3 linked regions of the Cricetulus griseus genome follow. The protein of the gene in region 1 purifies or fractionates together with the protein of each later gene. This does not show direct contact. Links are inferred from orthologs where the notes say so. Each region holds a gene or a part of one and is shown in the gene's direction. Other genes may lie near its edges.

Region 1 (6,884 bases):
CTCTCTCTCTCTCTCTCTCTCTCTCTCTCTCTCTCTCTCTCTCTCTCTCTCTCTCTCTCTCTCTCTCTCTCAGCTTGTGGATCTCAGCTACTGCTCCAGCATCTTCCTGCATGTCACCAAGATCTCTGCCATTGTGGTAATGAACTAAGCTTCTGAAACTGTTGGCAAGCCCCAATTAAGTGCTTTATTTTGTAAGAGTTGCCTTGGTCATGGTGTCTCTTCACAGCAATAGAACAGTGGCTAAGACAAGCCCAAGCCCAGATCCCAGATAGATTCACTGCAGAATTTTACCAAACCTTTAGGAAAAACACCAACATTTCTCAAAGTAATCTATAAAATAACTTTTTAGAAATAAAATCAGTTTGCCCTACTACTAGTACCAGATAAAGATACTACAAAGAAACAAAATTATAGATATATCTCCCTAATGAACACGATGTAAAAATTCTCAATACAACACTTTCGAGCCAGGCTGCAGAGATGGCTCAGAGGTTAAGAACATTTACTGTTCTTCTGTAAGACCTGGATTTGATTTCGAGCACCAAAATGGCTGCTCACATCCATCTGCAACTCCAGTTCCAGGGGATCCTCCAACCTCTTTTGGCCTCCTTGAGCAACGGGCATGCACTGGCTTACATGCAGGCAAAGAACCCATGCACAGAAAAATAAGCCTTTTTTCATTAATGCAGAAAAAGGTTTTGATAAAACATCCATATTTGTTCCAGCACTATTCACAATAGCTAAGTTACAGAACTAACCTAGTTTAGTTTATGTACACAATGATCTTTTTTCCAACATAAAGAATACAGTTATGCTGTCTACAGGAAAATGGATACAGCTGGAAATATTCATCTTAAGGGAATTAAGCCAATCTCAGAGAGACAGATACATGTTTTCTTTCGTTTTGGTTCCTAGATTTTATATAGGTACTTAAAATTACATACGTATATATATATATGGCATGAAAGTAGAGGCAGAACTGTAGAGAAACGAAGGGGATAACAGAACAGAGAGAAAAAGGTAGGAGGGTATATGGTAAGAGGAGGAATATGCTCCGTGTACATAATTTGCTGATGCAAGAAAGTGCCGTATGCAATGAATATATACAATGAAAATTTTTTAAAAGGAGGAAGGAAGCTGATTATTCTGGAACATTTTAAGAGGTGAGGATACTGATTGTTAAACTAGACAGCTTTGTAAGTTACAATAGAGTTGACATTTTACTTTTAGTACATTGAAAAGCCATTAGAGGCTTTTAAGCAGGAGAGTGACATGATCTGAAATACTTTTTAAAAATCACGAGGACGCTGGGGAGATAGTTCAGTCCATAAAGCTTGCCACTTACTTGCTGTATAAACAGGAGACCTTGAATTCCACGCATAGCAGCAACTGCGGCAACAACCGCCTGAAACCCCAGAGCTGGGGAGACAGAGACAGGACCTTGGTCTTCCAAGTCCACCTGCCTAGTCTAATCTGTGGTCTCCAGGTCCCTAGTGCGCTCACGCATGCACACGATCATGGGGTGGAGAGTAGGAGTACATTAAAATAATGGATCGATATATAAAGTTTGGAGGGAGAAGATCGTTAAGAGACCTTTGCAAGCAAGAGATAATTGTGACTTGGGCCAGAGATGGAGCTGTACTGGACATAATCAAGATACCGTTCATTGGTAAAGATCTAGATAGCTCATGTAGGAAGCAAAGCTAAGAGGAGAGGCTTTGCTAAACAACTAGCTTTCTGTAGTTAACAAAACTGGAGAAAAGAACCAACGAACAAGCTCTGCTCCGAACTATAATAACGGCTTTTATTGATTGCATGCTTACTATGTGCAACTCTACTGGAAAACTTACAGAAAACATGTCAATTAAAAATTCCCAACACTACCAGTGAACGCCGCCACGCCTTAAGTTTTGTCGAAAACGGGTTCGGAAGCGGGGTGGGGGTGGGGATGTCTCACCGCTGCGAAGTGCTGGAAGCCGAATCTGAACTTAAGTCGGTCTCCGCGGCGGCTTCTCTATAAGGTACCGGGCCTCTTTTCTACGAAATCGAGACTATATGTACTAAATTTGTACTGTGAGATCGCATCCTTAGGTAAGGCGCCCCAAGTACTCTGACACCGAGTGATCGCCCACCCTCCTGGGGTTGCACCTCAGGGATCCCGCGCGTCCCGGGCGCACGCGACGTAGTTTCCAGACTGGAAAACCGAGTTAAGACCTCTTGCGAGCAATTGGTCAGAGCTGGGAAGGAGTCTCCCGATTGGTGGACCACTCGGGTTTCCTCGCAGCGCGCTCCCCTCCGCCTGAGATTTTCTCCTATTCGCAGGCACTTCCGGGCGGCGCGAACCTCTGACGTTTCCTCTTCCCATTGGCCGGCAGCAGCGGCGGCAGTTCCGTTGTCTGACTGGCTGTCCGAGCCGCCTCGGAGGTGAAGTGTACCGCGCTGATTGGCTGCGGAGTGGCGGCCGCGTGTGATGTCCCCGGCGGCGATTGGCCCATGCCTGGCTGCTCGCCGGCTCTGGGGCTCCCGGAAAGTGGCAGCTGAGGAGGGGGCGCGCTAGCTGTCTCGGCGGCCCGGCAAGAGACCCGGGCGTGAGGCGGCCTCTCAGGGCCGGAAGGGCTGGTCAGCAGACGCAGCGGCACGGGAGGCTGAGAGTGCGGGACCAGGCGACACCATGGCCCCGCAGAACCTAAGCACCTTCTGCCTGTTGCTGCTGTACCTCATCGGGGCTGTGATGGCCGGGTGAGGAAGGGGCTCCGCGCGGCACGGGGCCCGAGGGGCGGCCTTTGCTGAGAAGGACGCGGGTGGCATCGAGGAGGGGGCAGTGAGGGAGCGGCACTGCCGAGCCGAGGGACGGAGGGGCAGTGAGGGCCGGGCTGGCCCTGCGGAGCCAGAGTGCCCACAAGAGCAGGAGTTGGTTGCAGTGCCAAATGCTACGTTTGTGCATTGGAAGGAGTTAAGTGGCTGTGAGCGGTAGTAGAGTCACGGAACTCCGAGGAAGGGAGTGAGTGCCAAGCTGGGGTTGAAGTTATGGACACGTCTTTGCTGAACTGGAGGGTGGGACGGTGGGTTACCTAGCTTGCAACAAGCCTCCGAGGACCTGACACTAAAGTGGGTGGGCCATGATGCTCTTAAGTCAGATGCAGGTAAGGAAGCCAAGCTCACGCGGGAGTAAACTGGCTTGAGGAAGCAACAAGACCTTTAGAGAACCTACTTTCCACCTTCTTGGGCTAGCGAGCCTGAACTGTCATCTTGCCTCACTGTCTCTCTCCATGGTTCCTTGAGCTGGATGGTATAAGTAGGAAAAGCACTTCACGAACGGGTGAGAAAACTGGGATTCTAGCCTTTTGCCACTCTTATGAATCATACAAGTTTGAAGGAACTTTACCGAAGTTCTGAAACCAGGGGAGCATTGTGCCTCCCTTCAGGGAGAAAGAGCAGACTTTGAGAATCTATCTCCCAGCATTTAAAATGCACGACCTTATAGTTCCCATGACTAAGGATATGGTACATCAGACTTGTGTTCTTGAGGGCTGGAACCCTTCACCCCAGCTTTTGGCAGATGAAAACAGGTGGATCAGAATTCAAGGTCATCTTCAGCTCCAGAGGGAGTTTCAGGCTTGCCAAGCCTACATCATCCCCTATCTCAAATAAATAAGTAACCACAAAAATAAAAACACACCAAAAACTAGTGGGTGTCAGAGTCTGACAGTCTGTAGGTTGCTGCATTACCTCAAATAGCTTTTAAAGTTGTTTCCTTATGTTTTTTACTCTTTGCATGTATGCTTAAATTTTGTCATTTTTTTTCCTTGTGAAATATTTTAAATTTCTAAAAGTTCACATTTCTTACATATTCTTTATTGTTTCCCCTTAGTTTGATTAAGCTCATGAGTACCCAAAGCATTTAACAAAACGTCAACATAAAATTTTGGAGTTGGAAGTTGAGGTATTCTGGTCTCCAGCTCAATATGTAGCTGAGGGCAATCTTGAACTCCTTCATGCTCCTTCAGCCACCACTTCCCACATGCTAGGATTGCAGACATGGGTGACCATTCCTGGCAAATACTAATAGCTTTTAATACTTTAGCTTTAAACTTCAGTCACTCATAAAGTAGCCTCTGGGGAGCATAATGTTGACGGCCATTTTTTTCTGAGCTGTCATTTAGCCTTTTCCCCCCTTTAAAAAGTCTTTTACTTACTCTCTGTCAGTTTCATACACATACAGTGTAATCATACCTACCCAAAATCCCGCAGATACACACGCGAGCGCGAGCACACACACACACACACACACACACACACACACACCAACATGCCCCTTCCCACATCCAGTAACTCACTGAGTCCAGTTAGTTGATGTAGCTGCTGGAGTGGTGACTAATGGTATTGGCTTGCTCTTTTCAAAGGTCTTGTTCAGGTAGCCATAACTTGAGTATATTCGTGAGTGCCATATCCAGAAGACAGAATTTGACAGCACTCCTCCCCTTCCCATGCTTTTACATCCTTTCTGCCCCATCTCCCACAATGTTCCTGAACTTTGGAGACTTGGGGAGAGGCGGGGGAAGGTTGGAATAGATATTCTGTTTAAGATTGAACACTCAGCAGTTACCTGTTCTCCACACTTTGACCAGTTATGTTGATACATTTACTGCCACCGTAAAAAGAAGTCTCTATGACCAAGGCTGAGAGTGTGTGAATCTATAGATATAACCTAAATATTTACATGATATAGTATTAATTATAGATACAACCTAAAAATCACATGTCTGCTTAGCAAAACAACAGTAATAGGTCTCCCTGTCCCCCATGGCCTATGACCTCGCCAGCCACGGGTTTTCAGCTTTACAGTACCAGATAGGAATTCCCTTCTGTGGAGCAGGCCTCAAGTCCAGTCAGAAAGCAGTGGGTTAACCTCATAATCTTCACATCACTATTGTACCAGATGTGGGACTATCTTGCTTTTTTGGTCAATATTAGTAATTTTCCTCCTCACACAACCTACGTAACCTTCTGACACTGTGAAAGCTGGCCAGAAGGCGGGAATTTTGTATGTCAACTCAGTTTGATTTCTCTGTGTCCGGTAACCAAAATGTGTGTCATCAGCAATGGGGCTTCCGTTATGATGGGCAATGGTGAAGCTTCTTGTCTGGGGGCCTCCCTGACTTATAACTCTCATAGGGAGTTTTCCCACACCTGGCACTGAGATTTTCACTTCATAATCTATGTCTTCTAAGGGAAACATCCACTCATACAGGGTACCTATGTTCAGAATCCCCGGTCTCTCTGTGTTTGTGTGTCTGTCTGTCTGTCTGTCTGTCTGTCTGTCTGTCTGTCTGTCTCTAAGATTTTATTTTTTAAGTACATGTACATGTGTGTCTGTGTGCGGGCATGAACATGTAAGTGCAGGTGCCTGTGGAAGAAAGAAAAGAGTGTTGAATTCCCTGAAGCTGGAGTTAAAGGTGGGTGTAAATCCACCCATCATGGGTGCTGAAAATGGAATTCAGCTCCTCTGTCAGAGTAATACAACTGTAAGATATGTTGGGGGCCACTTTATATATTTTTTGAGTTAGTTAACAAAGTAGTGGCTTTTCATGTTTTTTTTTTCTTATCCTTAGTTTTGTTTAATTCACCCCTCTCCATAAGCATTAAGTAAGCCTCACTTCATAGTTAGCATTTTCATTATTAAACAGCTGGTTCCTTTCCCATGAGATGTCAAGACTTTACAGATTAGGTAGGGACTTCCTGTGAGTGATAAGTTTTAAAAATGATGAAGTTGAGCTGAGCATGATGTCACACACCTTTATCCCCAGCACTTGGGAGTCAGAGTCAGACAGTTCTCTGTGAATTTGAGTCCTGCCTACTCTACAGAGTGAGTTCCAGGACAGCCAGAACTACAGGGAAACCTTTTCTCAAAATTATATAGTTGAGTAGGACATGGTTCATATACTCCTGTAAACTTGACATTTATGAGGTAGAGGCAAGAAGGTCAGGAATTCAAGGCTATATGAAACCCTGCCTATAAAACCAACCCCAAACCCTGACAAAATGATTAAAATAACTAAATTACTTTTTAAACAGTGTGACTTACAGTATAAACTAATCGTAGCCTTCTGAATGCCTGGGCTATAGGTGTATGCCATCTTGAGTTAGAGGCAAGCACTCTACTGACTGAGCCACATGACAGGCCATAAAATACATTTTTTAAAAAAAGTATTCTGTCTTGTGTCTTGGTTCCCCAGTTCATTTTCCCCATACATTGTAAGACTACCATCCATACTATGTTAGTGTCTATTATGTGACTTCCTAGCCCCATTATTGGGATAATGTTTCCAGAATAAATTCTGGTTGCTAAAATTCTGGCAACAAGAATAGATGCTGTGAGTGTTCATATGTGCTTGGCTCATTCAGGAGAATTTACTGGTCTCCAATGAGCTGGAAATGGCCTTTCTCTGGAATGTCTTTTATAGTCTTACTCTAGCTTTCCATTAACACTTCCTGAAGAGAACCCTTTTATAACTGATCCCCTCATAGTCCTTGGCAATGTTCTCTGTTATGTCCTGGTTTCTATCATAAGCATATTCTCAACCACCAGGATATAGAGGCTCCTGCATGTGAACTATAAAGCCTGCCTATCATAAAGACTTGATTTCAGCAAATTAGTGTAGTTACTGGCAATGAATTATGAAATATATTTTTCCATCAAAATACACTATAATCCTTACATATGAATGAATGCTGTTCTTCCTTCAGAGTTATTATGTAGACTTTGCTTAACCTCTATTTTAATTCCTTAAGTCAGTCCATCTTTAAATGTTCCCAAAGTGCTACTGTTGGAACTTTTATGTGACATAATCTTTGTGAATAAAGATAACTCTTGAAATTATTTG
Region 2 (6,880 bases), on another chromosome or scaffold:
CGAGGGGCTCATCTCTTCCAAAGAGGAACCATTTCCTTTACATTCTGTTTCTTTGGAACAGAAAGAAAACTTTATTTTTTTTCCATCCTTTACAGTGTATCTTCAGGAGATCACAAATTTGTTAGGTCCCAAATCCTGGGACAAATGACTAAGGTGCCTATTTAACACATCAGAGAACCTAGAGCCAGGTTCTCCCAGCATCCCTCAGTCCCTACTTGTTACAGGGTACGGCTCGGCATATCCTTCCCTCTACCCTGAACTCTGCAGTCCAGGGGTTGGGCTGCCCCTCCCCAGAGGCTCTTCCCTATATAATCCAGCCAATCTGGTTACGTTTTGCCCTCTTGGCTGCTGTACCTGGTTCCCCTCTCATGGCTCAGTCTGCTCATGTCCACTCTGGGCTCTCCCAGATATGTCTGCCTCTGGCTATGCTCTCCCTTTCACCTACAACACACTTTGTCCTCCACCGTACCTCAGAGCAGCCATGTCCTTCATCTTTCTTTCTTTCTTTTTTTTTTTTTTATTCAAAATTCACCCTAACTCAGGAGTTCTTCTAAAGCACGAAGTGACACTGATGTATGCATTGGACGATAAACCCACGTTGTTTGTAAAAACTGCTGGTCTATAGAGCGCGTTCAAAACAGAAGAAACAGCCATGATCAAAGCCTAACTGAATAATTTGAACTGCTTCTTGTTCAAGTTCCTTTCTGTTCGAATGAAAGCGGTAAAGAAACCCGAACAGCAGCTCCCGTGGGTGACAAAAGGGGACAAGTTTACTCCAAACTGCCAAGGCAGAGAGCAGACACTGAAGACGGAGCAAGAGATGCGCCATGGTTCTGTGCATCACACTAATACATAATTGGCTCAGGGCAGGTCATAGGCTGCAGACTTGGAAGCCTTGGGCAGCGGGACAACCCACCCACCCCTGTAAAAACAGAGCGGCCCTGAAAGCTTCTTTGGAGAGACCGGAAAGGCCGCGCCAGCCAGGGGCTTTAAGAGTGTGCCCAGGCCAAGGTGAGACTCGGTGGAGTGACTCCAGAGTGTCAGGTCGCGGGCATCTAGTCAGCAGCCAGCATCCCCAGGGAGCCCCAGGCACTTCCAGCTTGCTAAGAGGAACCAATGACCCCGGAGTCTGTTAGCACCTCAGGGTCCTAGCTGGCTTCCCTCAGCCCCTACTCACCAGTCCTCACCCCAGCTCACAGCTCCCTTCCCTAACCCAGGGTTCACATACCCACCCCCTCCCTCCCTCCTCCAGCCCCCTCCCCAGCTCTCCTCCCTCCTCGAGCCCTCCCTCCTCCCAGCTCTCTCCCTCCCCCAGCCCCCCTCCTTCTCCCCAGCTCTCCCTCCTCCTCTCAGCTCTTCTCCTCCCCCAGCCTCCCTCCCCTTCCTCCTCCTTCCCACTCTCTCCCTCCCTCCTCCAGCTCTCTCTCCCTCCCCTTCTCCCCAGCTCTCCTCCCTCCTCCAGCTCTCTCTCCCCCTTCCTCCTCCCCAGCTCTCTCCCTCCCCAGCTCTTCCTCTCCTCCCAGCTCTCCCTCCCCCTTCCTCCTCCTCCTCCCCAGCTCTCCCCCTCCTCCCCAGCTCTCCTCCTCCTTCCCAGCTCTCCCCTCCTCCTCCCCAGCTCCCCCTCCCTCCTTCTCCCCAGTTCTCTCCCTCCCTCCTCCAACTCTCCCTCCCCCAGTTCCTCCCCCTTCCTCCTCCTAACCCTCCTCCTCCCAGCTCTCCCCCTCGCTCCTCCTCCCCAGCTCTCCCCTCGCTCCCTCCTCCCCAGCTCTCCCCCTCCTTCCCCCAGCTCTCCCTCCCCCAGTCCTCCCCTTCTCCTCCCCAGCTCTCCTCCCTCCTCCAGCTCTCCCCTCGCTCCCCCCTCCTCCCCAGCTCTCCCCCTTGCTCCCCCTCCTCCCCAGCTCTCCTCCTCGCTCCCCGCTCCCCGCTCGCCCCGAGCAGCCTTGGCAGTCCGCGGGCTCCTTCCCCGGCGCCGGCAGGGCAGCAGCGCATGGCGGAAGCCCGGGCACTTCCCGGGCCGCACCGGGGCTTGCTGGCTCTCGGCGCCCCGGCTGCGCATGCGGACTGGGGGGGGGTGCCCCCCGCCCCGCCCCGTCCTCTCCGCCCCGTCCTCCCGGCCCGGCCTCGGCGGCGGTTTGGAGCCCGCTGACAGCTCCACGACCTGCGGACGCCGCCGCGCCGTGTGCTTCCACGTTACCCTATCGGCGGTGGGGCGGGGCGGCGGCCGGCGCGGCCAATCAGCGCCGACCACGACCCCGTCGAGCCGGGCCGCTCCCAGGCCGGGAGGAAGGCGATTGGGCGGCGGCGGCGCTCGGGGCGTGGCGTCCCCGGCCCGCCCCCGCCGCCCGCCGCCGTTTTCCGCCTCTGGGCGCCCTCGCCGCCGCCGCCGAGGCCCGAGCGAGCGAACGAGCGAACGAGCGAGCGGACGCTGGCTGCGGGCTGCGGGCTCCTGGCTGCTGGCTGTGCGCCGCGCGGGCGAGCGGGCGAGCGGGTGGGCGCTGGGCTGCTGGGCCGCGCTCCTTCCTGCTCCTCCGCCCCGGCGCCCTTGGACATGGTGGCCCCCGGCTCGCTGGGCAGCCGGCTGGGCGCGGTGTTCCCGTTCCTGCTGGTCCTGGTGGACCTGCAGTACGAAGGTGAGCAGCCTCGGGGCCCCTGACCCTGCCTGCCCGGGCCCCGGGGCCAGCGGCGCTCCGGGGCGCGAGGCTGGCCCAAGCGGCGGAGGCCCTGCGCGGGCCGGGGACACGGCGGGCGAGCGGGCGGGCGAGCCGGGGACACCGCGGGAAGGCGGGCGAGCAGGCCGGGATGGAGGCCTGGGGCGCAGCCTGGAGCCCGGCGCCCGCAGCAGGGGTAACGGCGGCTCGCACGGGCCGGCCCGGGAGCGGGAGCCCCCGGGAATCGAACCCCGGCCCTGACCACTCTATCCCGCGTCCGGTGCGCAACTCAGCCCGGTGCCCGGAGAAGCCCGCGCGGGGCTGGCAGCGCCCTCCCGGCTCCCGAGTCGCGGGCTCCGGGTCTTTGGTCCACGGTTCCCAGCATGGCGTCATTCAACTTTTCCTTTTTTTTTCCGGGGCTACTTTTTCTAGTCCCCGGGGGCGGGGTGGGTTTGGGGTTGGGGTCGGGGAGGGGGGAGTCTCCTTGGAAAGGTGGGGAGCGCTTGCGTTTCACCCCGGCCTGCAGACTGGAATGCGGGCTACTCCCAACAGAATAGCAAAACAAGAGGCCTGTCCCAGCCTGGGTGTGAGAGGGCGAGCGGGCGAGCGGGGAGGGCTGGGGCATTGAAGCCCCAAATGCCCGTGGAGCAGCGAGCGCTTCCCAGCTTGGTTACTGCGCTGCTGTGACAGAGCTGTGTGTCCTGGGCACCGACCTGCACTCACTCCGGAGAGGGGGTTGGTGTGTGGGGGTAGTTGTCAAGGAAAGTAAACAGTTGACTGTTCCATGGCTGGGGGTGGGGTGCGGTGGGGATTGAGGAACCGAAATTGGGAATAATTCTTGGCGAAATCCTCACAAAGGTGTATGTGGGTTTCCTTTCTTTGTTAAAAGTCTTATTATCCAGTTTTGACATCTCAGTTAAAGGTAGGAGTTTTGTTTTTGACTTCCTGATAGCCGTATGTTCTTTGGCCCTCACATCAGATTTCGTGCTGTGACAGTACTGAGACATTGGAACCAGCCTCAGATTGCGGGGGGGGGGGGGGGGTTGGAATTTGAAGGCCTGGGCCACTTTAATATATAGGCCATACGGTATAGTTTTTTAATTTTCTAATTCTTTTCATCCGCATCAGTCATGCTCAGGTATCATAAATGGCTTATTTTGCACGAAAGCTGTCTGTTATGTTTAGGATCTTTTTTTTTTTTTTTTCAGGTATAGAAGTGCTTTACTTTTCCCAGTAGTTTGTTCATTTCCCTACTGTGGTATTTCTGTAAAAAAAAAAAAATAAGGGAAAAACTTTGAGTTTTTCTGTCTGGGACATGCTAATGGCACCTCTCAGGGGGGCAGCCAGAGTGTTGGCTTCTCAGGTGCAATACCTGTGTAAAATAGCAGGTGATTGAGAGGCAAAGAGCCTGTTTGGAAGCCATCTCTTATTGCATGGAGATACGTGATACTCTGTTTTACACACGTGGGAACTGGTGTTCTAAGAGCTTAATGAAAATTTATCTTGGGACTGGAGCAATGGTTAGAGTGCTTGCTGGACTTGCAAAGACTGGATTTGGGTTCCCAGCACCAGATCTGGCTACTCAATGCTGTAATTCCAACTCCAGGAGTCCTTTTCTGGTTCTGTAGGCACCTGGACACACACACACACACACACACACACACACACACACACACACACACACACACAGAGAGAGAGAGAGAGAGAGAGAGAGAGAGAGAGAGAGAGAGAGAGAGAGAAAATAAAATCTTTAAAAATAAACTTTACCTTCTGTATGAACTGGTCTATACCATTTTCAAGCATTTCTAAGTGTGGCAGCTGAGAAAAATAAGCATTTTACTTTACACAGGAAGGTGATTTCCTACAGGTTCAGTATGGTGGTTCTTCCCAGCTGTGCAGGCTCATATTTGTGGTCTCAGCACTCAAGGCTGAGGCTGGAGGATTGTCATGAGTTTAAGACCAGCCTGAGTTATATCATGAGTTTTAGGCCAATCTGAACTATAGTGTGATGCTTTGTCTTAAAAAAAAAAAAAAAAATGCTTTCTCTCCCCAAACAGCGGTCCTTTAGCCAGCTGTCTATCAGAATCTCATGGGGGGACTTTGTTTTAAGAGTTCTAGGCCCACTTACAGAACATCTCATGTAGTAGGTCTTGGTGGAACCTGAAAATGTGCATTTCTAAAATGATTCCAGATGACGACACTGTGAGAACCATTGGTGTAATCAATTATATGTAGGAATTAAATTAGGGGCTTGCTATTGATTAGATCCTAGATTTGGTGATGGAGTTATCAAGACAAAGTAGCAAAGTTTATTAGCTTGCATTTTCTTGAGTAAGTTAGTTCTCTCTGAGCTCATTAACCTCAGTTTTGGGGGTGGTGTGCAGGTCAGGTGGTACCGTACTTCACTTGAGGCATGGTAAGCAGAGTAACATGAAAACAGGGTCTGTGGAGCAGTTTCATATCATGGAAAATATTGTTAATGTTTAGCCTAACTGGTTTTTGTTTTTTTCTTCTCAATTAAAAACACCCTTGCAAACTAGGCTTTTCTGTTGTAATCCATAGAAGGAAAGCACTTATCATGAATTGAAAGACTGACTCTTAGCATTGTCTTTCTCAGAGCCTTTGAAAAAAATCTAAAGCATTAAAAAGCAGAATTTTTGAGTAGGAGGAAAATTGTAGGGACTGTAGAGATGGCTCAGTGGGTTAAGAGTACTAGCTGCCCTCTTGGAGGGTGGGACTCCGGCTCCGATATCACAGCTTTATCCAACTGGAGGAATGGAGCAAGTGTCCGTCTTACATACAGAGACACAAATAAAAGAAAAAGAGAACGTTAGTATCCACTTGAGCATTCTCACATTGCAAATAAGATTACTTCAGTTTGTTGCTAATGGCTTATTGGGTGACTTGAGTGTGAATACTGGCTGAAAAACATTTTATGTTGCGTAGTTTTATCTTTTTTTTCTTGACATATATATCAGGAACCCATTTTTAAATTCTACTGTATTGAGATGATTAATCCATATATTTTAGCCATCAGGGGAAGACTTGAAAATCTGTTCAAACAAAGTGTTGTGATATATTTTACTTAAACTGATAAATTAAGAGTATATTACCTTTTGTAGGATTTTTTGATGCTAGTTAAATAGGAAGAGAACTTTTTAAATGAATGATTTTAAGACTGTGTATAATCAGATGTTCAGATAGCTCCCTAGACTTATCTTGAATTACTTAGCAGGCTAGATGATAAAGTCGGGAGTGTTTCAGTTCATCTAGTCAGCCAGCATTGCTGAGAAGGTGCCTGGAGCTGCAGTGGCTTCCGACCTGTTTGGTGGGCTTGTGCTGAGATGAGAAGCCCTGGAGCAAGCAGGTTGTATTTGTGAAGTTAATTGTGGTTAGGTTTCCTTTCTGTTGTCCTGACCTTTTAATTAATTGATTGGCTGATTGATTTTTGAGTGTGGGTGTTTTATTTTGATTTGTTTTTGTTGGTCTTGCTCTGTAACCCAGACTGGCCTGGATGGACTCTGAAATTTGATATGTGGAACAGGATGGGCCCAACCTGTGATCTCTCACCTCTCTGTCTTCCCAGTGTTGGGATAAAAGCCCACCCACCACACCTGCCTTCCTGAGGTAGTAATCAGCAACTTTACTTTGTTTACATAGAAACATCCCAGGGAAACCCCTGCCCTTCAGAACTCAAACTCTTATTTTCAACCATAAATTTATTTCTCTTTCCGAATCTTTAGAAACTGGCTCTTTTAAAAATAGATAAATATGATGAGTTTGTTGCTTGGAGTTTTAGAATATAAAAAAGACTCAGGTCAGCAAAGGTGGCGCTGTGATGAGGTATATATGGTGTAACATTGATGGGCTACCTTAGAATTCACAGAATAAGGAACTTAAGACATGCCTTTGGGAGGCATCAGTATCCTTTCTCTGTTTTCTGCAAGTTAGTGGTTCTTCACTGCGGCCACGTCATTGTAAGTGCTCTTAAATTTCTATGCTTTTGTTCTTTGACTTTCTTTACCTGGCAGATCCATTCCATTCAAGCTTGACCACCTTGCTTGTTGTACGTAAGAGCTAAACACAGATGGAGAAGAACGATTGCTAGACTGTTAGTTTACTGTCGTTTAGTTTACTGTTGGTGTCGGTTAGGCACACTCTCTCAATCTCAGCTGCTGATATTCTTACACTTCTTTGTATGTCTGTTCTTGAAAAATAAGTTCCTTAAATAA
Region 3 (6,884 bases), about 6.2 Mb from region 1:
GATTATTCTCCTCAGACATGCAGATTATTCTTCTCAGCCTCTGATATTTACATGTTAATTTTGGTTAGGGGTTTGACAAAATGACTCCATTTTGATTCTAGCAGTTTTGACACAGCCTGCTTAGAAACCTGCTACTTCTGTCTGTCATGGAGCTTATGTCCTTGCCATCTTTGACTCTAAGTGCAATGGAGAAAACCATGTCTTTCTTTTCTTTTGAGTCAGGGACTCAAAGATAGCCTTGGACTCTTTTTTGTTGTTGTTGTTTGTTTTTTGTTTTTTGTTTTTCGAGACAGGGCTTCTCTGTGTAGCTTTAGAGCCTATCCTGGCACTCGATCTGGAGACCAGGCTGGCCTCGAACTCACAGAGATCTGCCTGCCACTGCCTCCCAAGTGCTGGGATTAAAGGCATGTGCCACCAAGGCCTGGCACTTTGGACTCTTTTTTGTTTGTTTGTTTGTTTGTTTGTTTGTTTGAGACAGGGTTTCTCTGTGGCTTTGGAGGCTGCCCTGGAACTAGCTCCTGTAGACCAGGCTGGTCTCGAACTCTCAGTAATACATCTGTCTCAGCCTCCCAAGTGCTGGGATTAAAGGCGTGCGCCACCACCACCTGGCCAGGAATCAGATTTCTAAATTTCAGGTTTTCATATTTTTATTACATTTATTTATTTGTGTGTGTGTGTGTGTGTGTGAATGCCAACCTTCCAAGTTTGTCTTGAGCAATTGATCATTGGTGTTTCCCTTTTTATTTTCTTTTTCAAAACAGAATTTCTCTGAGTAGTCCTGGCTGTCCTGGAACTCACTCTGTAGACCAAGCTGGCCCCAAACTCAGAGATAGAGATGCCTACCTCTGCCTCCTGAGGGCTGGGATTAAAGGTGTGTGCCACCACCACTTGGCATTTAGTGCTGCCTTTTATTGAGCCTTGGAAACTTGAAGGAGGAGTAGTTTAAGGGAAAAGACAATTCTGCCTTAGACATGCTAAATTTCAGATCTCTATTGACATTTCCAATAAGACATTTTCAGTGCATCTTGGATGCTGGACCTAGATCATTTAAGGGCATGATCTTCCAAGTGCAGAATAAGGTGCCTTATCCCATGTGTAATCCAAAATATAATAACCCTGAAATGTGAAAACTCCACATTGAGTTGTAGATGTAGCTCATCAGTAGGTCTTTTGTTTACCCTAGGTTAGGCCTTAAGTTCAATTCACAAAATTACACACAAAACCTGAATTACCAGGTTGCTGTCATTAATGACTTCTCTATTTTCTGAGTGCAAAATTCTGGATAATTGAATTCAATATGAGTTTTTTCAATCTTTGAAAAATGGTCTCTTGACATGTGAAGCAAGCTTGTTACTAATTTGAACTAATAAAAAAATAAGGAAAAAAACTTGAAAAAAAAAGAAAAAAGAAAAATGGTCTCACATGTAGCCTTGGGTGGCTTGGAACTTTCTATATAGGATATATTGGTCTGAAACTCTGAAACACGAATTAATTTTGTTGTCTGCCTCCTAAGTGTGCTACTACGTATGTCTGGCCTAAAATTTTTTTAATTTTTTTTTGTAAGAGTCTTACGTAGTCCAGGTTGGCCACTAACCTCAATCTTTCTCTTTAACTTCTGGCCTCCACCACTTGAGTGTTGATATGCTAGAGATCAAACCCAAGGTTTTGTGCTAGTTAGACAAGCACTCTACTGAGACACATCTCCGGCCCCTAAATAGAAACTTTAATGAGTATCTAGCTAGTGCTCCAGGTACATACTTCATCAGCCACTTGGTAATATAGCCTGTAAGCAGTTCCTTTGTGGATCCCCAACATAGAAAAAAATTATATATATGAGTGACAGCTACCAGCTGTCTTTTGATGACTCATCCAGCAACCTTGATATTCTGCCACCAAATCACTCAAGTAGCTGCATGGCCAAGGGAATTCAGAAACCCTGGGATCCAGGAGCTGACATGACCCAGTGACAGTTAAACTCCTGGGGTCAGGAGATTTCAGTAAGTGGGATCTGTCCGCTTTGTGACCACAAAATCTAGTGATTCACAAGACTGTGCACATTTACGCCCAGGACTGAAGTCCAGGGGCCCAGTGTCAAAGGGGTTCCTGAACCTACCCCCCCCCCCCAAGGGCTTACGACTGGGGCCAAATGACTACTGGCCACAAACCTCGCTGTGCGCCACTCTGAGGCCTCTCGGAGCTGGTCGCCGCCGCCGCCGCCGCTGCTCTCTGGGCGTTCATTGGCGGGTCCTCGGAAGCGTGGACCAGTTAAAACCCTCCTGGTGTCTTCAGCTCCCCGCCCCCCAGCCACCTCCTTGAAAGCTGGGGGGTGGGACCGCTGCACAACGACCCAATCCTAGTGCAGGAGGAGCGCGCGCGGGCAGGCAATTGGCTGCTATGAGAGGGCGCTGTCAGAGGCGGATTGGCCGGTGTTGAGGACGGAAGCGCTGAGGTCCGGAGCTGCTGGAACCCGGCCGGCCGTCGCGATGCGGGGCGCGAGTCGCGGCGGGGTAGCCGGGGCGCTACTGGTGCTGCTGCTGGTGCTGTCGGTGCGCAGCGGTGACGCGTCCAAGGCCAGCGCCGGGCTCGTCACCTGCGGGTCAGTGCTGAAGCTGCTGAACACCCACCACAAAGTGCGGCTGCACTCACACGACATCAAATACGGATCCGGTGCGCAGGGGTAGTGAGTGACTGGGATGGGCACCGGGGCCGGGCGGAGGCTTAGAGGCCAGGTGGTCCTAGTGGGCTCTGCGGGCTGTCAGGGAGCTGGGTAGTTGCGAGTCTAGACTCGCTTGCAGGGTCGTGAGAGGCAAGCCGCGGGCATTGAGGATGTGGAGGGTCCGGCGGGGGCCTCGACTGGGGTGAGCCCTTGGGATCCTGAATTAGTGGGGGCTGTGGGAGGAACTTGTTAGTGTTCAAGACGAGGATCCCGAGATCTGCAATTGACAGAGACCACGGGGTGGGCTGTCCCTCTCCAGGCAGCGGCCAACAGTCGGTAACCGGCGTGGAGGCGTCCGACGATGCCAATAGTTACTGGCGGATTCGTGGCGGCTCCGAGGACGGGTGCCCGCGCGGGCTCCCAGTGCGTTGTGGGCAGGCAGTGCGGCTCACGCATGTGCTCACCGGCAAGAACCTGCACACGCACCACTTCCCGTCGCCGCTCTCCAACAACCAGGCAAGCCCCGTTCCGAGCCCCGCCGAAACTGAGCGGGCAGGAACCCGAGCGACATCGGGAGGTGTGAGGGAGGGAGCCGACAGGGGACTCAGTCTCAGCTGCAGTGAAATGGGAGTTTTTCTAATCAGAAGTTTATGAAGCCTCCGCTCTGCGTCCTGTCCTCAGGAATTTCTACCCCAGAGTTAGGAGAAGGACTGAGAAGTCAGAGATTGATTAGCTCCTATTTGGACACGAGGGGGACTCACAGCAGATAAGTAGTAGAACATTGAAGAAAGGAGCACCTCGGGCTGGTTCTGAAAGAGAAGTAGGAGCTTTCCCCCAGACCTTTCCCTCTGTGGCATAGCTCCTGCTGAAGCATATGGTCACTGCAGCTGGTGGGGGTGGGGGGCATGAGAAGGAACTGACAGTGCTTTGGGAGAGTTTCTGGGGGGAAATGTTGGCGATAGGGAACATGGCTGTTAGACTGGGAAGAGCTTGGGGGATGTGCCTTCACTAGGTTAGCACAAGAAGCCTTTGGAGACCGTGGTGGAGCACACCTTTAATCCAGCACTCGGGAGGCAGAGATAGGCAGATCTCTGTGAGTTCGAGGCTAGCCTGGTCTACAAGAGCTAGTTCCAGGACAACCTTCAGCCTCCAAAGCCACAGAGAAACCTTGTCTCCACCCCCCTTCCCCCCAAAAAAGAAACCCATGGAGAGAAGGTCTTAGCTCCAGAGGGCCAGTGGGCACTACAAAGACTGATTGATCTATGTGGTGCATGCCTTTAGTCCCAGCACTCAGGAGATAGAGGTAGGTGGATCTCTGAGTTCTAGGACAGCCTAGTCTATAGAGTGAGTTCCAGAATGGCCAGGGCTACACAGAAAAACCTGTCTTACAAAACAAAACAAAACAAAACAAACAAACAAAAAAGAGGCTCTATGCATCTGAAGAAACCTTCAATAGGATGGGAATTTTTTTTTTTTTTTTTTTTGGTTTGTTTGTATTTTGAGACCATCTTTCTGTATATAGCCCTGGCTATCCTGGAACTTACTATGTAGACCAGGCAGGTCTCAAACATCCAGAGATATGCCTGCCTCTGCCTCCTGAGTGCTGTACTTAAAGGCATGTGCCACCATACCTGGCTAGTGTGGGACTCTTTTTTGATTTTTCGAGACAGGGTGCTCTTCTCTATGTGACTGTCCTCCATACTTTACACTCTCAGGAGGTGAGTGCTTTCGGGGAAGATGGCGAGGGTGACGACCTGGACCTGTGGACAGTACGATGCTCTGGGCAACACTGGGAGCGCGAGGCCAGCGTCCGCTTCCAGCATGTGGGCACCTCTGTGTTCCTGTCGGTCACTGGTGAGCAGTATGGTAACCCAATTCGTGGACAGCATGAGGTGCACGGCATGGCTAGCGCCAATGCTCACAACACATGGAAGGCCATGGAAGGTATCTTCATCAAGCCTGGAGCAGATCTCTCTACAAGTCATGATGAACTCTGAGAACTGGATGGGTGAAGGGAGGGAGGGTGGCTGGGTAGGGATTCTGTAGGGCCACTCTTGTGTGAGACTTTGTTTGTAGAGTCCTCAAGTGCCTTTATGATTAAAAAATGTTGGTTTGTGTTTATATTTGCTGTAACCCCAGGGAAGATCTGGAGGTACCAGCCATGTCTGTCCATGTTGCCATCTCACCTGTCTCTAGGTACCTGTTCAAACTTTTTTTTTTTTTTTTGAGACAGTCTCACTATGTAGCCCTGACTGACCTGGAACTCACAGAGATCCACCTGCCTCTGCCTCCTGAGTGCTGGGATTAAAGGTGTGCACCACCACAACTGACCCCAAACTCTTTTATAAAATCATTCTTTACTAGTGTGAGTGCATGTTCTGTGTGTATGTTGGCACCTGTACATGCGTGCATGTGTGAAGTTTAGAGACCAACTGTTGATAGTTGATTCTCATATCCTACCTTTATATTGGTTCCAGAGATCAAATTCAGGTTGTCAGGATTGTGTAGCACACACTCTAGCTGCTGAGCTGTCTCAGTGGCCCCAAACCTTTATATTTATATTTATATTTATTTATTTATTTATTTATTTATTATGTCTAGTCTTCTGCTCTGCCTGCATGCCAGCAGAGGGCATCAGATCCCACTGTAGATGGTGGTGAGCCACCATGTGGTTGCTGGGAATTGAACTCAGGACCTCTGGAAGAGCAGTCAGTGCTCTTAACCTCTGAGCCATCTCTCTAGCCTTGACCCAAACCTTTTTTGATGCCTGTCGATGCATTGTAAATCTGCTTTGAACAGTCGTCTCTCCTGTCTACTCTACAGCAACCTCATAGCCATGGACCTCAGCTCCCAGTACTTGAACTTATTGTGTGGCCTTGGCCTCAGGGGCCCTGTCAGCTGGGATGGGACTCAAGCTCTCCAGTCCCCTCATTCCTTGCCCTCAGGACCCCACTCTTCTTCTGGTTGTGGCAGTCTTGAGATTTATCTCTGGCTGGGCACACCTCTAATCCCAGCACCCGGGAGGCAGAGGCAGGTGGATCTCTGTGAGTTTGAGGCCAGCCTGGTCGCCAGAGCGAGTTCCAGGACAGCTAGGGCTACACACGAGCTCACACATGCGTACGCTTGTGCTCATACACACAAAGATTTATGTTTGACCAAAGGCCAGTTGAGGGTTCTGCCCTATACTGGAAAGTAAGACCTCAGGCTCCCGTACTCTTGCTGTAAAGGACACTCTTCTTTCCCCAGGGTTCTAAAGAGCGGAAAGAATTAAGGCTGGAGAGATGGCTCAGTGGTTAAGAGCACAGTCTGCCCTTTCAGAGGACCCCCACCTTATGTCTTGTCAGGTGGTTCACAACTTGTAACTCCAGTTCCAAGGGAATTTCTCACGCCTCTCACCTCTCGCACATGTGCACAAACTCATACAGGCACATAATTTTAAAAAAGAGAGTAAATAGAATACCTCAAAAGACATCTCAGGGGAAGACAACTCAAAAAAAAAAAAAAAAAAAGAATAGGAATCTGAGGAGGCACAATCCCGGCAGCCAGAGTACTACAGTTTAAAGGCATGAATAGAGGGCTGGGGAGTTAGTTGGGTTGTGAACAGGTGCTTGTTGAGTGCAGTGGAACAGTTGGTACTTGGTGTGCATGAGGCTATGGGTAGAGTACTTTGCTAGCATGTACAAGGCATAAGACCCATTTCCAGCACCAAAATTAAATAAAATAACAGACACAATGTACCATACAGTCTAAATGAGTAAATAAAAACACAAGCAAAAGAAATAGAAGGGCTTACATTAAGCAAGCTAACAGCTCACTAGTGGTGTGTGTGTGGCCTCTAGAGGTAGTAGAAGAAATGACAGATTGTCTAGGCTTGGCCCCATAGGTCATAAGGACTTCAGGGAACTGCTGGGGATGGAAAGTGTTGATTTCCTGAGAGCCAGAAAAAGTCCCAAGAGGCTGGGGTTGTCTGGAAGGGACTTGGAATAGGGTGGGAAGAGCAGGAAACACACGGATTTGAGAAATCAGTAGACTTTATTAAAGCACATGGGTGAGACAAAAGCTGTAAGTCAATTGAATCCTCAGGGGCGGCAGTTATGTCTTGGATCATTACTCTCCTGCCCCATGAGACCCTCGTCTTCCCACTGACAAACTTTTGTTTTGAGACAAGCTTTCTTCATGTGACTTTGGCTGGTCTGAAACTAGACCCAGCAGGCCAGAATTCATAGAG

Evidence for each region.
Region 2: the proteins of Dnajb11 (region 1) and Dnajc3 purify together in Homo sapiens (affinity purification with mass spectrometry; 3 studies listed by BioGRID and IntAct, with this or other methods). This does not show direct contact. The link is inferred for Cricetulus griseus from reciprocal best matches to the Homo sapiens genes DNAJB11 and DNAJC3.
Region 3: the proteins of Dnajb11 (region 1) and Sdf2l1 purify together in Homo sapiens (affinity purification with mass spectrometry; 3 studies listed by BioGRID and IntAct, counting the BioPlex papers as one, with this or other methods). This does not show direct contact. The link is inferred for Cricetulus griseus from reciprocal best matches to the Homo sapiens genes DNAJB11 and SDF2L1.

Annotation. Positions count from the first base shown.
Region 1 is NC_048597.1:65,996,161-66,003,044, reverse strand, and holds the start of Dnajb11 (dnaJ homolog subfamily B member 11), read left to right. Parts: upstream 1-2,488; 5' UTR 2,489-2,671; coding exon 2,672-2,739; intron 2,740-6,884. UniProt on the Homo sapiens protein: As a co-chaperone for HSPA5 it is required for proper folding, trafficking or degradation of proteins.
Region 2 is NW_023276807.1:268,948,882-268,955,761, forward strand, and holds the start of Dnajc3 (dnaJ homolog subfamily C member 3), read left to right. Parts: upstream 1-2,424; 5' UTR 2,425-2,548; coding exon 2,549-2,630; intron 2,631-6,880. UniProt on the Homo sapiens protein: Involved in the unfolded protein response (UPR) during endoplasmic reticulum (ER) stress.
Region 3 is NC_048597.1:72,190,285-72,197,168, forward strand, and holds Sdf2l1 (stromal cell-derived factor 2-like protein 1), read left to right. Parts: upstream 1-2,428; 5' UTR 2,429-2,483; coding exon 2,484-2,667; intron 2,668-2,975; coding exon 2,976-3,172; intron 3,173-4,371; coding exon 4,372-4,653; 3' UTR 4,654-4,789; downstream 4,790-6,884.